Linked DNA regions of Saccharomyces cerevisiae S288C. The gene in region 1 interacts genetically with each later gene. Each region holds a gene or a part of one and is shown on either strand. Other genes may lie near its edges.

Evidence for each region.
Region 2: mutations in COX13 (region 1) and TFS1 together harm fitness more than expected from each alone (negative genetic interaction), as found in Saccharomyces cerevisiae (one large-scale study listed by BioGRID).

Annotation. Positions count from the first base shown.
Region 1 is NC_001139.9:140,282-148,632, forward strand, and holds COX13 (cytochrome c oxidase subunit VIa), read left to right. Parts: upstream 1-4,526; coding exon 4,527-4,916; downstream 4,917-8,351. Other genes in the region: histone deacetylase HOS2, read right to left, coding at 87-1,445; YGL193C (uncharacterized protein), read right to left, coding at 1,635-1,946; IME4 (mRNA (N6-adenosine)-methyltransferase), read left to right, coding at 1,965-3,767; protein phosphatase 2A regulatory subunit CDC55, read right to left, coding at 5,528-7,108; 40S ribosomal protein eS26 RPS26A, read right to left, coding at 7,948-8,307. UniProt on the Saccharomyces cerevisiae protein: Component of the cytochrome c oxidase, the last enzyme in the mitochondrial electron transport chain which drives oxidative phosphorylation.
Region 2 is NC_001144.5:508,836-517,265, reverse strand, and holds TFS1 (Tfs1p), read left to right. Parts: upstream 1-3,444; coding exon 3,445-4,104; downstream 4,105-8,430. Other genes in the region: VTA1 (Vta1p), read left to right, coding at 1-588; methionine adenosyltransferase SAM1, read right to left, coding at 856-2,004; YLR179C (uncharacterized protein), read left to right, coding at 2,553-3,158; YLR177W (uncharacterized protein), read right to left, coding at 4,326-6,212; RFX1 (Rfx1p), read left to right, coding at 7,034-8,430. UniProt on the Saccharomyces cerevisiae protein: Specific and potent inhibitor of carboxypeptidase Y.

The DNA.
Region 1 (8,351 bases):
GCTAAAAACATTAAAAAAAAAAAAAGGAAAATAAAAAAAAAAAAAAAAAAAAAAACGGGAGATTAACCGAATAGCAAACTCTTAAACTATGAAAAGGCAATCAATCCACTGTTTTCTTTTTCCATTTCTTCTAGCCTATTTGAACTGTCTGCTTCTGTTTCTTCATTCATTTCTTGAATGATTTTATCCTCTTCTTCTGTCAGGGCACTTATATCTTGTGTCGGTATGCATTCAGCATCCATTCTGACACTTGGTGCTCCTTGCAAGTATCTGATATTTTCTAGACATCGTATTCTAATGTCTTCCAGTAGTTTTTTACTGTTTTTGTTTTCGTATAAGTCATCTAACATAGGATAAAGTGAATAATCCGGCCCGAATGAGTCCCGGAATGGGATATCTTCGGGGATGTCTTCTGGTAGCAAGACATCATTTAAAATTCCTGTCTCGTAGGTCCAAAGCCGTGATACATTTCTAGGTGTATAACCTCCACCGCCCACTACTAGCATTGGTAGACCAAATGATTTGACAAATTTTACGCATTCTCCATGTGCCTTTATATTTAAATTGAAGCATCCTAAGCGATCATGACCTAAGGAATCCGCACCGCATTGTTGGACAATAAGTGTTGGTTTGAAAGTCATTATTAGAGGATCTACAATTGACTTGAAAAGGTTTATATATGAGTCGTCATCTATGCCATCTTCTAGGGGTACATTTAATGCGAAATGTTTTCCTTTGTCGCAACCAATTTCTGTCAGATCACCAGTTCCTGGGAAAAATTCGCCATTATATTTATGAAAAGACAACGTGAAGACCCTATCTGTGGTGTAAAATGCCTCCTGGACACCATCGCCGTGATGTAAGTCGATATCGATATAAAGGATTCTTGGGTGATATCGTAATAAGTTCAAAATAGAAAGCACAATATCATTTACATAGCAAAACCCAGATGGACTATTCTTTTTTGCATGATGAAGACCACCAGACCAATTTATCGCTATGTCCGATTGATTGTTGATTAGTTTCCTGGTGGCGTCAAGGCTCGCACCAGTGTATAGTGTTGTATAATCATATAAATTTTGAAAAATAGGACAGTCGTCTCCAATGTTAAAATTTTCAAGTGTGCCTCTGGGCAGTTTGTTTGCATTTTCTGGTGAAACCTTCGAGAGAAAATTCACGTAGTCTTCCGAGTGAAATTGTAGTAATTCGTCTCTGGTAGCGCTTCTTGTTTCATAAAGGTCCATAATCTTGTGCAATCCATAAGAGGAAACTAGGTGATCCGTTAGCATTAACCGAAACGGCTTCATTGGATGCTTAACACCATAATGGTAATGTGAAACTTTGGAGTTAAAATGATACGATACCCTGGGAGAATAAGCAGAATTAAACTCAAATAATGGTTCGTTCTCCTTTGTTTTCACATCATAACTAAATGTTCCAGACATGTTGCGTGTTGTTATTCACTTGATACCTGATTTTAACGTACTTGAGTAATCTGGCGTCTTTTCTATAACTGTACATTGGCGACACACCTAAAACTGATTAGAATCGTTTCAAGATGCTTTCAGTTCAACATTTAGTAACATAGTAGGAATATCACGTTTAACGATGCCCCAAAGAACATCGAGAATCCTCTATATAGAGTATAAACAGGGCATTCTACATTGGTATAGAGGTGCCTTAGGTATATAGTGGTACCGGTCACATAAATTGACGGGAATATGCGTCTTTAGGCGGCTTTTGGCGTACAGTATTGTTCTTTCTTTCGTGCTTGTGAAACTTGTTATAAACAAAGAAAGAGAAAGATCTCCCCGGCATTCTGGAAGATCGGTAACCGCTGGAGCTATAGGAAAGGGAGATGGATAACAGTAAAGAAAACGGACCATATAAGTTAGCATTGGGGGTTTTCGAAAAAAATAAGAATTGGCATTCAGACTTGAATTCATAAAAGTTGTAAGCAGGCTATGATTAACGATAAACTAGTACATTTTCTGATCCAGAATTATGATGACATCCTAAGAGCACCGCTTTCTGGACAGCTCAAAGATGTGTATTCACTGTACATCAGTGGCGGATACGATGATGAGATGCAGAAGTTGAGAAACGATAAAGACGAGGTCTTACAGTTTGAACAGTTTTGGAATGATCTTCAGGATATTATATTTGCAACGCCGCAGTCCATTCAATTTGACCAGAATCTATTAGTGGCAGATAGGCCAGAAAAAATTGTTTACCTGGACGTTTTTTCCTTGAAAATTCTCTATAACAAGTTCCATGCCTTCTACTATACATTAAAATCGTCCAGTTCTTCATGTGAAGAAAAAGTGTCGAGTTTAACAACAAAACCGGAAGCTGATTCGGAAAAAGACCAACTGCTGGGTAGACTGCTTGGAGTCCTGAACTGGGACGTTAACGTCAGCAACCAGGGGTTACCACGTGAACAACTGAGCAATCGCTTACAAAATTTATTGAGGGAAAAACCATCATCTTTTCAGCTTGCTAAAGAAAGAGCCAAATACACGACCGAGGTCATTGAATACATCCCGATATGTAGTGACTATTCGCATGCATCTCTATTGTCCACCTCGGTGTACATTGTCAATAACAAAATCGTTTCTTTACAATGGTCCAAAATATCCGCATGTCAGGAAAATCACCCAGGATTAATTGAGTGCATTCAATCAAAAATTCACTTTATCCCTAATATCAAACCACAAACTGATATTTCGTTAGGAGATTGTTCCTATTTGGATACCTGTCATAAATTAAATACGTGTCGATACATTCATTACCTGCAATATATTCCGTCATGCTTGCAAGAGCGAGCTGATCGTGAAACTGCGAGTGAAAATAAAAGAATACGGTCAAACGTTTCCATTCCATTTTATACTCTGGGCAATTGCTCCGCACATTGTATCAAAAAGGCTTTACCTGCACAGTGGATCCGTTGCGATGTGCGGAAATTTGATTTTAGGGTTCTTGGAAAGTTTTCGGTAGTTATTGCAGATCCTGCATGGAATATCCATATGAACCTACCATACGGTACTTGCAACGATATTGAACTATTAGGTTTGCCTTTGCACGAACTACAAGATGAAGGTATTATTTTTCTTTGGGTGACGGGTAGAGCTATAGAATTGGGTAAAGAGTCTTTGAATAACTGGGGTTACAACGTGATAAATGAAGTTTCATGGATAAAGACAAACCAACTGGGTAGAACAATTGTTACAGGTCGTACGGGTCATTGGTTAAATCATTCTAAGGAGCATTTATTGGTGGGCTTAAAGGGTAATCCAAAGTGGATCAACAAACATATTGACGTCGATTTGATCGTATCAATGACCAGAGAGACTAGTAGAAAGCCTGATGAACTGTATGGTATAGCAGAACGGTTGGCAGGCACCCATGCCAGAAAACTAGAGATATTCGGAAGGGATCACAATACGCGGCCTGGCTGGTTTACCATCGGAAACCAGTTGACAGGAAATTGCATTTACGAAATGGATGTCGAGAGGAAGTACCAGGAGTTTATGAAGAGCAAAACTGGAACCAGCCACACTGGTACTAAAAAAATCGACAAAAAGCAACCTTCAAAATTACAGCAGCAGCATCAGCAGCAGTATTGGAATAATATGGATATGGGGAGTGGTAAGTATTATGCTGAGGCCAAGCAGAATCCTATGAATCAAAAACATACTCCCTTTGAATCCAAACAGCAACAAAAACAACAATTCCAAACACTAAATAACCTATATTTTGCTCAGTAAAGCGTTAAATAATCCTTTTAAACATTAATAGCATTGCATAAAAAAGATGGTCATAAAAAAGACTGCAGCGGGAAGTAAATGGTTTCCTGGTCTGTATTAGACAAACTTTGGAATAGAGAAGGATATGGTTTATGTCCAATAATTATTATCCGAGTCCGTGTATTTTTTTACATCAACTGGAACAATTTATTACCCGGATGTTTAAAAATTGTTGTCGCCTGGAGAAAGCTAATACTAGTTCTGGCCATATTTTCAACCATTAAACACTACTAATGTAATTACTTGACTTATTTGCTCCCACTCTTGGTCGGTTCTTTCCCATGGCGCATTCTACCATTCTTTTTTTCTACTCCAATCGTTCTTACTGGAAACTGTGGGAATAGCGAAGAACGACTATTATTTGCTAATACAGAGTAAGCTATCCTGCTGAATAGGTAGACGATAGTAGTAACCCAACGCCGCTATCCTTTCGATTATACCGCTATGAATGTAGTGATATGGTGCGGTATTGACACAATATAGTAATTTCGGGTAATTTTTTTTCCCACCAATGAGAGGCGGTACTGGGAGTATCGGTCTAAGAGAATCGAAAAATAACCCCCAGCTGGGATGTGATCACGATGAGTGACGGGATACATTAAATATAACAAACATACACGTTGCCTTGAACGTTTTCACTACACATCGCATGTGTTTTATCTAGATTTAAAATCATATTACTACAGTTCTACAGTTATACAAATAACAAACAATAGAAAAATGTTTAGACAGTGTGCTAAGAGATATGCATCTTCATTACCCCCAAATGCTTTGAAACCTGCATTTGGCCCACCAGATAAAGTGGCAGCTCAAAAATTTAAAGAATCATTAATGGCCACTGAAAAGCATGCGAAGGACACATCTAATATGTGGGTTAAAATCTCAGTTTGGGTCGCCCTACCAGCAATTGCTTTAACAGCTGTGAACACATACTTTGTTGAAAAGGAGCATGCTGAGCATCGTGAACATTTGAAACATGTGCCAGACTCCGAATGGCCAAGGGATTACGAGTTTATGAATATCAGGTCTAAGCCTTTTTTCTGGGGTGACGGTGATAAGACATTATTCTGGAATCCTGTTGTCAACAGGCACATCGAGCACGACGATTAATTAATTGATTAAGTGAGAATAAACTTTTCGAAAAATTTTTATTTATGATAATTTTACTAATTCTTACTTATTTCTTTTATATTCGATAAAAAAAATTCAAAATAAAAAAAGATTAATCCTTTGATAGGAACTAAAGGTACTAGGTATTTTGGGCGGCGAAGCATCATTCCGTTCTTAAACATCTATATATATATAATTATATTGCAAATGTATAAGCATTTAAAAACATAAACATGCACCTATGAAGAAGAATTTAAGACGTTTTATTTTTATGTTCCACGCGTTTTGGTGAAGTGATGAAAGAAGTCCTGATAAAGGGATGTCGGATTAATAATTGATACAGTGTTTATAAGATAGCTAATCAGAAAAAAAACGAAAGAAAATGGTATAAGTCTCAGAATAATGATAATAAAACACGCTTGAAGTAGAATAAAAATATAAGTAGAGAAGATAAAATAAAAAAATAAAGATAGAAAGATTTTCAATGAGGGGCAAATCTAAATCTAAAAAATTTGAATTCAAGTTCAATTTAAATTTCAATTAAAACAGTAGTAGTATGTGGGGAAGATATGGGATAAAAAAAAGTAAGGGAAAATAAGGAATTATTATAATTATAATGCGGAAAAAATGAATAAATTATTAGTTGCTGCAACAGCAATACTATTTTCTCTTGGATGCCATGAGAAATGTAAAATATTCTTCTTGAAATCAATATCGTCACCCCAATCCTTATTTCTTGCAGACCTTTGCGCTAGCGAACCGTATCTTTTGTTCCTGAACGCTGTTTTGTCAGCTTGTAACACGATTTCATTCATTTCGGTTCCCGAGTCCTCCGAATTTGCTCCTTCTCCTCCCGCTATACTGCTTCTAGAGCTATTACTACTTCCCACCATGCCTGTGTTGCGTCCGTTACTCCTACGCTTGTGGCTGTTGCCACTACTACTAGAATCTTTATTTTGTATGCTGTTGTGGATATTTTTATTGCTGTTGCTATTAGGTGCGTTGTGTTCATCAAAAGTTTTGACTATGCCATTATCATTATCACCAGAAGTTACTACATTAGGATAGATCATGAAATTGTTATTGTAAGAACCAGTCATTACACTTGAACTATCACCACTAAAATTAACTTCAAATTTATCGAAAATCGCATCGTTTTCATAGGTATCACTCAATCTTTCCTTCAATTGCTCATGTATGTTTATGGTTTTCAAAGGCTTATTATCCATATTTACGTCCCAAATTTTGACAGTTAAATAATCTCTGGATGCAATATACCTACCATTTGGACTAAATTTTATGTCGGAAATTGACGACGTGATTTCTGTAAAAAAATTATGATTGATTGGATCCAAATATTCTTCAAATGTTTTGGTTTTATTGTCACATAGGGAATTTTGTCTCATATCACACAACTTTATTGTACCTTTGGAAGAAGAGTACATGAATAAATTACATTCTTGCGGATGAAATTCAGCGCTTGTGATCACTTCGGTAAGTTCTTCCATATTGGTTGGCTTGATATCTACGATGTTGAAGCTCTGATCTGGTATGTCCAGATTCCATAAATTGATTCTCAAGTCGTCAGCACTTAAAAATGTTTCCTGATCAGAATTCAACGATATCGAATTAATGTGATAGGTATGTGCATTACTATATATACGCTTTGGGGTGGCAGCAATGATTTTGTCATGCTGTGATAATTGAGGCAGTTTCAGCGATTGTAAAGATAATACAGCCCTCACGGAGCCTCCTCTACTGTTATGGTTATCGGGCTTGCCTTTTTTCGCAAACGTAACCCCTTCTGTTAAGTTGTTCTGGCTTACCAATTTTATATTTTTCTCATAAACTTTCCAAAGTTTTATAGTTTTATCATTTGTGCTCAAAAGAAAGTGTGATCTTTGAGTTGGTCGTAACCATTTGATTTCATTTATCTTCTCTTCAATTTCTAAGGATTTTAAATAATCAAATTCTGCGTCATGACTTTGAAACTCTGTTAAAAACTTATATTCGCAATGTCTACTATTACTTCTTTCAAAAAGTACCACACGGCCACCTTTATCACCAGTGGCCAGATAATTTCCAGTATAGTCAAATTCTACAGCTGTAATTAGATCCGCCTCTGTCACCACAATATCTGCTTTATCACCAAAACATTGGCTGAATTTAAAATCAAAATTGTTTTGTGCCATTGTGCGCTATATTATATTTCTTTATGCGTAAGATCTCTCCAGTTTGACCTCGATATGTTGGCTAGATTTTATGAGGTTTACAGTTTATAGAAACACTAGTTTTCCCTTTCTTAATATGTTGGTGGAGTGGGGGTAATCGTATTAAGCTGCCTTATTCACCCTCTGATAGGAATAAAAATCGAAACAGGACGAAAAAAGGGTGAACTAAAATATAGAAGAGAGCCTAATTGACGTAATCGAATTCTTCTAGAATGCGTTTGTATATTCAATTTTCAATTCTTCCAGTCTCTTCGTGGAAAGTTCTCTAACGTAATAGTCTTGTCTTGTGCAAACTCCCTTTATCTTTGACGGGAAATGTTAGGCAAAATTGGATGGAAAAGAGAAAAAAGGAAGGAAAAAAACAAAAAAAATCTACTTAGTTAAGGATCTATTGACGTGCGCGGGGGGAGTATATGCCAATTGTCTCAAAAAAAAAACGTTTATGCCGTGCCGGAATAGAAATAGTTACTGGTCGTTTTCCTATCTGATATAAATCTGAGTAAAACGATTATTGTCTAACCCAATGCAATATATACAGATAGCATTCCGCTCATAGTTAATAATTAACTTCAGACAGTTTTTTTCAATATCTCATTAAAGGGAAGAAAGGGAGGCGAAAAAAAAATCAAAAAAATTATACTTCGTATCAAATTATATTCGTGGAAGGTGACGATAGTAATATTTGATGTTGAACATACTTGAAACATTAACATATTTAATAGAAAACTATTGTAATGGTTATTTTTTATTGATTAGAAATAGTAGAAAAATTTACTTATGTTTCACCTATATTAATCAAGTTATAAAGCCTTCTTGGCGGCATCAGCAGGGGAAACCTTGTTTTCTCTGTTGAATCTTGGTCTTTGAGGTGGAGCTCTGTTCTTTCTGTCTTCTCTGGATCTGACTCTGACAATTCTGGCGTGAATAGCACAAGAAACACAGTAGTGTAACTTGTTGTAAGTCTTTGGCAAAGCGTATTCAGGGTAGACAGAAGCTTCGGACAAATCTCTGACGGCAGCGGCTTCAACAATGTTTCTGATAGCCATTCTCTTGATAGCCTTATCCTTTGGAATAGACTTGGAACAGTTGACACATCTGACTGGTTTGACGTGACCTCTACCTTTCTTGTTTCTACCGTTGGAAGCTCTCTTCTTTGGCATTTTGAATGATCTAATTAAATATTCATCACGAGTATTGCAGGTTT
Region 2 (8,430 bases), on another chromosome or scaffold:
AAGGAAAATATAAGTGAAACGAGTACAAATTCATTACAAAAACGAATTAAGTATTGCAAAATTTATTTGAGTAAATTGGCAAAGGGTGAAATTGGTTCCAGCGACGAGAAAACGTTAGATTATGCAGATTTTGCGGATGATAGCGAGGAGATTAAGGATGAAGATGTTGATCACCAGACAAGCGATTTGGAAAACAATAATAATGATAAAGTCGAAGGCCTAGCCCCAAAAGACCAAACAACATCATACGAGCCTGTGGATGAGGTACCTGAATTTATTGATGATGCCGATAGCGTAAACGAAGAAGAACAGACCGTCGACAAGAACGAAGATGCAATAACAAAAGACGAACAACAAGTTGTGAAGAAAGAAGTGGATCTTACGCGCCCTTCTGCACCATCAGAACCTGCTGCAGCAGAGCATAAATCGTATACAAAGGATGAGTTGACAAAAATTATGGACAGGGCCAGTAAAATAGAGCAAATTCAAAAACTTGCCAAATACGCCATAAGCGCATTGAATTATGAAGACCTGCCCACCGCCAAAGATGAGTTAACTAAGGCGTTGGATCTGTTAAATTCTATTTGAATAAGATAAAGTTTGGTTTGTTGATCCGTTGAAGGAGGTATATATTAATATTAGTAGTTACGTATTAAATGTTAGAAAGGAAAAGGAATCCTGTATAATGCAAAATGAAATCGATACAAATTTGATTTGAGAAAAATGAGTCTATATCAAGAATATGATGGTATTGCGTCCCTGCATCAAATACGGTATAATGTACATGTTGACTTGTGTTGAGCAAATGAAAACATGGGAGGTTGAAGGCAGAAAAAAGTCCAAAAGGAAAAAAGCTTAGAACTTCAAAGTCTTAGGCTTTTCCCATGGGTATTCTTGGTTTGTGAAATGGCCATAAGAAGCGGTTGGCAAGTAGATTGGTCTAGCTAAGTCCAACTCCTTGACCAATACACCAGGTCTCAAGTCAAAGTTCTTGCTGATAATGTCGATAATTTCTTCGTCAGACTTGGTCGCAGTACCATAGGTGTCAACGTGCAAGGACAATGGTTCCGCAATACCGATGGCATAAGAAAATTGAACTTGAACTCTCTTACATAAACCAGCGGCAACTAGGGACTTGGCAACCCATCTAGCGGCATAAGCGGCAGAACGATCAACCTTAGAGTAGTCCTTACCGGAGAAGGCACCACCACCGACGGATGAGGCACCACCGTAAGCGTCGACGATGATCTTTCTACCGGTCAAACCAGCGTCACCTTGAGGACCACCGATGACGAATCTACCGGAAGGTTGGATAAAGTATTTGGTGTTTTCGTCCAACATGTCTCTTGGGATGACTTTTTCAATGATCTCGGACTTTAGTTGCGCTCTTAAGTCCTCGGTCGTGATTTCGTCAGCATGTTGAGCGGAGACGACGACGGTGTCGATTCTTTGTGGAACCCATCTACCGTGGTCATCCTTGTATTCGACGGTGACTTGAGTCTTGGTGTCTGGTCTCAACCACGCTAAAGAGCCATCTCTTCTCGCGTCAGCCATGGCCATGTTTAGTTTATGAGCCAAAAGAATAGTCAAAGGCAAACCCTCTGGAGTTTCATCTGTGGCGTAACCAAACATGATACCTTGGTCACCGGCACCGATGTCTTCCAAATCCTTCTCCTCGTGGACACCTTGGGCGATATCTGGAGATTGTTGCTCAATGGCGACAAGGACGTTACAGGTCTTATAGTCGAAACCCTTGGCGGAATCATCGTAACCAATCTTCTTGATGGTGTCTCTGACGATTTTTTGGTAATCCAACTGTGCCTTGGTAGTAATTTCACCAAAGACCATAATCATACCAGTCTTTGCCGCGGTTTCACACGCAACTTTGGAGTGAGGGTCCTCGGCTAAACAAGCGTCCAAGATGGCGTCGGAAACTTGGTCACAGATCTTATCTGGGTGACCTTCACCAACGGATTCAGAAGTGAATAAAAATGTACCGGCCATATTTTCGTTTATCTTATTTTTTCTTGTTTTTAGGGTAAATTCCTGGTTTTTACTCTATTTTTTTTTCGAAGCTAACCGAAAAACAACGATGAATAACAGACAACACCAGTCGATATATACGTCCCAAACCAATCCCATTAAGTACTAAACGGAAAACTTTTTACTCTTCCCTTTTTCATCGATACCAGAGTGAAAAACTACGATGAGGCTAAAATTTCCTCGAGACAAGAACCCGAAAAAAGAAATGCACTAGTAGGCAAGGGCGCCACCACAGTTTTCCTGTGAAAAAAAAAAAAGAAAGTATTCGTGTGTAGTGATATATAACTTTATCTTCAAATTCTATTTCCGTCTTACGTCCGTTTCGGTACCTTTTTTTCAAAAGATCTTGCCTGACATTTTTTTGAACAATATAAAAGTGCCAAGCGTGCTCATTATTGGAAGTGCGCACCAGGTGAGGAATTGAATGTTGCCATCAATTGTTTGAGTAAACACTGCCCATCTGCCACTTTCGGTACCCATCCGAGTACTTAGTAATAGAAATATATATTATGTCTAGTGCCATCGTTGCTAAACTGAACAAAGAGGACATCATTAAGGACACCGTCAAGGACTTGGCGTTCGAGATTCTTGGTGAGTTGTCGGTTTCGTACGTTGATTCTGACGACATCAAATTGGGCAATCCCATGCCAATGGAAGCTACGCAAGCCGCTCCTACCATCAAGTTCACGCCCTTCGATAAAAGCCAATTGTCAGCCGAGGATAAACTCGCTTTGTTGATGACTGACCCGGACGCGCCCTCTAGAACAGAACATAAGTGGTCGGAGGTTTGTCACTACATCATCACTGATATTCCTGTCGAGTACGGACCTGGGGGAGATATTGCCATTTCGGGGAAGGGTGTCGTGAGAAATAACTATATTGGGCCTGGTCCACCAAAGAACTCCGGTTATCACAGATACGTGTTCTTCCTGTGCAAGCAACCCAAGGGAGCGGATTCGTCCACTTTTACCAAGGTTGAGAACATTATCTCCTGGGGGTACGGTACTCCTGGTGCGGGTGCCTATGACTATATCAAGGAGAACAATCTGCAACTGGTCGGTGCCAATTATTACATGGTCGAAAACACGACCGTTGATTTCAACTATGACATGTAAGGTGCAGCAACCGGCTCGTATAGATACGGATAAGATAGAGTATATTGTGCAAACGCGTATATGAAATAGTGAATATATACATGCCGAACGGTTCCGTTTTTTTTTTTTTTGGCTCGTTGATTTTTCCTATCCCTTTGAACTTTTCTATCTTTTAAGGGATAGAGGGGCTGTTCAGGGAAGGAAAGATCTCAATTGGTATATAAAAAGGGGGCAGCAAGAAACGAATTGCAGTGCTCCTTTTCCCTACCAGTGCATCAATACAAGAACAAGAGAACAAGCAAAAAACATGAACCAAGCAATAGACTTCGCACAAGCAAGCATTGACTCCTACAAGAAGCACGGCATTCTGGAGGATGTAATTCATGACACAAGCTTTCAACCCTCCGGGATACTTGCCGTAGAGTACTCATCAAGTGCACCTGTTGCCATGGGTAACACGCTGCCCACTGAGAAGGCACGTTCCAAGCCCCAATTCCAGTTCACGTTCAATAAGCAAATGCAAAAAAGCGTACCACAGGCGAATGCGTACGTTCCCCAAGACGACGATTTGTTCACACTGGTAATGACCGATCCGGATGCTCCCTCTAAGACAGATCACAAGTGGTCTGAATTCTGCCACTTGGTAGAATGCGACTTAAAGCTGTTGAATGAGGCTACTCACGAGACCTCCGGAGCAACCGAATTTTTTGCATCAGAGTTCAATACGAAGGGCTCGAACACACTAATAGAATATATGGGACCAGCTCCACCCAAGGGATCCGGTCCCCACAGATATGTTTTCTTGTTATATAAGCAGCCTAAGGGCGTGGACTCATCTAAGTTCTCGAAAATTAAGGATAGACCGAACTGGGGTTACGGCACCCCTGCCACCGGTGTTGGCAAATGGGCTAAGGAAAACAACCTGCAACTAGTTGCCTCCAATTTCTTCTATGCGGAAACGAAATAGGTATATATATATATATATGTATATGTATTTATTTTTTAGATTTCAGTGCTTTTCACTTGACTTTTTATTATTTTTGTTTTATTTATGTTTTTGTCACAAACGCGCACATGTTTGTAGGGAGTAATGTCATTGTCAAACAAAACACATAAGAAAAACATGGTGAGATTATTAAAAAAGTGTATAAGTTTATAAAATGTTTATAATGATTATATAAGTTTGGGTTAGCCGAACAAAACCTTCACCAATTCCATATAAACACCGATCTGGAAGTCGTCCAGTTTCAAGCGATTCAGTTCAGGGGCCACGACAATTCCAGTGTTGTCCATGGAATAGTGGGACATCATATCCTGATACATCTCCCACTCAAACTTGTTTGAATCATAAAATTTGGAATCTATCGATAAATTGTTCGGTATAGCACAAAGCCAAATTCTTGTTTTGTAAAACTTAAAGAGTTCTTTGATCAGGTCTCTGAAATCATTACGCTCCTGGCAAATGTAGTAGAAAGTCAATTTCTTTCTGTCGAATTGGAACTCTGCATTCAATATTTTGATGTTCAACCCGCCACCGGAGTTATTGTTATTTAGCGACCTCAGTTTTAGCTGTGCAATGTGAAGAGCCTTTAGCTCATCCTGGAATTTGTTGTGTAAATTCGTGGAGGATTCCCACGGGGTGGCAAATCTCAGAACCTGCTTTGATGGGATGATCAATTGCGTTAGTTCAATGATATCATATAACTTCGGATTCAACTCATGAGCGACCGGCTTACCATTGGTTGTATCAACCAGAGTCTTGATAAACTGGTCATTGGGGAAATGCTGTTGACTATTGGTGATTAGAGAATCAAAGTGAATTTTTTTCTTCAAAAAATTTATAAATAGTGCCAAATTTATATCTACAACCGGTTCCACCACCAAAACTAAATCTTTACCACGATCACCATCAATAATGACCAAATCGCCCCTTTTCAGTATAAGTGTGGCCGTTTGTGGTTTAGACAACAGTTCGAGCTTACCATTTTTCAACGATACTAACACTAATGGCTTATAGTGCAAATGCATTGAAGTGCTGTTCTTGGATTTGGCCGCCCCGGTCGACGAAGCGTTTGAAACAGCAGTGGAGATGAATGCGTCAGACTGTGGGTTGTAATTCAGATTACAATTTTTCAAAAAATCCAAAAACTCTATAATCCTGGAACTGGAGGCGGAGACATTATCCCCGCGTAAAGTTCCCTTTATGCTGTCAATAAATTTATAAACTTTATCACTAGCAAAATAGTTTGACCCGCAGTCAAGATATAAGTCATGCAGCTCCTTGGATGACGTCAAATTCTTGCCGTCGACAACCGCCAATCCGGCATCGTTTGTGGGAGCGGCTGCCGGATGCAAGTTCAGCACTGGCTGGGTGTTGCGCCTAGCATTGAAGGGTGACGAGTACTGTTGCTGCTGAGTATACTCGGAAGGAGCAGTGTATGGTACTTGCAAAGATGGGTTGTTGTTAATATATACAGGTTGCGAGTATTGTGGTTGCTGGGTAGCCGCATTGCCATGAATCAGCGCATCAGAAATATAGGAAGATCTTCTTCCCGGGTCAAAGATGCTTTGTTGCTGTTGCTGCTGCTGCTGCTGCTGCTGCTGCTGCTGTTTCTGTGGATAGTATTTTTGGGAGCTGTTGTTTAAGGGAGAAAGAATATTGTTAGGCGAAGTGTTCATCACATTCAAGTAATCCTGTTTGTATGGCTTTCTGTCCTGAGTCGGGGTGCCGTTAAACTCAAATGAGAAAAGAGACAAATTAGGGCTCTTCCCGTTAATGCTCATCTCGCTCTGTTTCCTTCCTTCGTCCGCAAATGCGCTGAACGAGGCCCTTTTAGTGTTCTTCTGCCCCAGAAGAGACTGCTTATCCTCTCTGAAACCGATGTAACCGTTGATAAAGTCAACTCTGGAGCGGGGATGCGCAGCAGCGCTGTTGTCGTTAAAATCTGCCATTTTTCCTGGCAAATCCGCTAGCGACTTGCCACTATTGTTCTTGAACAGCAACTTGTCATAGTAATTCCTTAACTCCTGGTTGTCGGATATACTTGTGGTGCTATTTATTGAAGGCAGCTCCATGGTACCCTATTTCTATCTTTATTCCTGTGTCTATACGTCTATGCACTCTAGTGAGCTGATATTGAATGGCGCCTCCTCTCTCCATTGTTCTTTTATTGTTTATATACTGTGCCAGCGATCCCCGCGTGTCCTGCCCCTGAAACACCGGCGCAGGAACCCCTTGAGCGTGGGGAAGGGGAAGGTTCAATTTACGGGCAGCTCGAGCTGCCCGTAAATTGAACCACACTCTCTTGGTATTTGGATAATCAAGTGTGTACATACTTTGTGCAAGTGGGATTTACCCTACACCTCTCGAGGCCTTGTCCTACGATAGTCGTAATAACGCAGACAGCACCAGCGATACAGCAGCACCAACACACCAAGAAAAATAACCATCAACCGTACGGAAGCCCCTTTGTATGCTGGGTAGCTGATGTGCACCTAAATCAGCCGGGCGTGGCAGCAGTCGACGCATACTTGTTTCTTTAGCTCTATTCTTGTTACAGGACCATCTAGGTATGCAAAAACGAAGGTGCGGTTTTTCCTATCTGGTACGGTGCGGAAGAGGGAAAGAAGAAACGAAGGTCCAATGGTAGCGCCACTCCACGATATACAGCTTCGTTGGTAAAACCACGAGTTTGGAATCAAACTCGTGGCTCACCTATGGATCTTCGGATTTTATTTCAAGCACGGTCACCTCCCCTTCGTTGCGGTTTCTTGCGCACGTTTGTGGTGTCTATTGCTGCAACAGTTGAACCTGTTTTTGATTTCGTAATTTTTCTCCTGTCGTTTCGTGTTGTCATGGCGATTTGGGAAAAAGTTGAAAAAAAAAATAGCAGTAAATGGTAATCTTCAAAGAACGCAAACCAACAGAAAACCTTTTCACTAGAAAAATACCTGCCAAGTACTTCATCTTCTCGCCTAGTTTTTTGTCTGTTCATTATTTTGAATTTTATTTGCCCATGTCCGGTGATAATAACATTGAACCTACTAGTCGGGGCTCGAACGACAATAGCAACGGTCCAAGTAACGGATCTTCGGTAAACAGTAATCGGTACAGTTTAAACGCACCCAAGTACAGCAGCCAACCACCGCCAGCATCACACACTTATTTGCCCCCCATGTCAGTGAATATCCCGCCCATAGCGAGCAAATCATCGTCAATATACAGCCTGCTACACCAAAGTTCCCCCCGCCCGGAGACGCCAAATCCAATATTACCGCCACTTATCGGTAGTGGTCCCGGCTCCCATAAACCATCTCCTACCCCTACACAGCCTCCTGCACAACCCGCAACACAACGGCAACCTGCCACATACTCAGTGTATCCAGCGTCTATCAGCCTGAATAGATCGAATTCATCTGCTTACCCACTTTCTTTCAAGTCAGAGGAAACCTTAAACAATAATCCTCCTACTGCTGCCAAACGTACCAATACCTTCCCCTCAATTCCAAGCAGTACGAAAAAACAGAAAACAAGCCAAGAGAAACGAATCTCTTCCATTTCAAGGAGAAACACGCAAGAAATAATTGCTAAGCAAATTGCAGAAAATAACAAATCTAAAACCATCGAGGAGTATGCGCAGATCGTGAAGCATGCAGAAATCAAAGTCCTGAGCATGGACTCACAGAACACTTCAAAGGCAGCTTTGCAGCTGGCGGAACAAAACAGAGAAAGAGAAAGACAAGTGTTTGCGTTACTTTGGTTAATGAAAAATTGTAAATCTCAGCACGATAGTTACGTACCAAGAGGCAAAATATTTGCTCAATACGCTTCATCTTGTTCCCAAAACAACCTGAAGCCCTTATCACAGGCGTCATTAGGGAAGTTGATAAGAACAGTTTTTCCTGATTTAACGACTAGAAGGCTGGGTATGAGAGGTCAATCCAAATACCACTACTGCGGATTGAAACTAACTGTCAACGAAAGCGGCTCCGTGTCCCTTAATAACAACAATGCTTCGTTATCCTTAGTACACAATAACGATCCCATATCGCCCCTATCGTCTCCATCGCCCTCTTCACCTTCGCCGCAGGTACCTAACGTTTCATCGCCGTTCTCATTAAATAGAAAAAGTCTTTCTCGAACTGGGTCGCCCGTTAAACAGAGTAGTAATGACAACCCTAACGAACCAGAACTCGAATCACAGCATCCAAACGAAACAGAAGCAAATAAACTAGATTCGCTGCCACCAGCGGCAAATAACCCTACCGGAACACTGTCTTCAGATGAATTAAC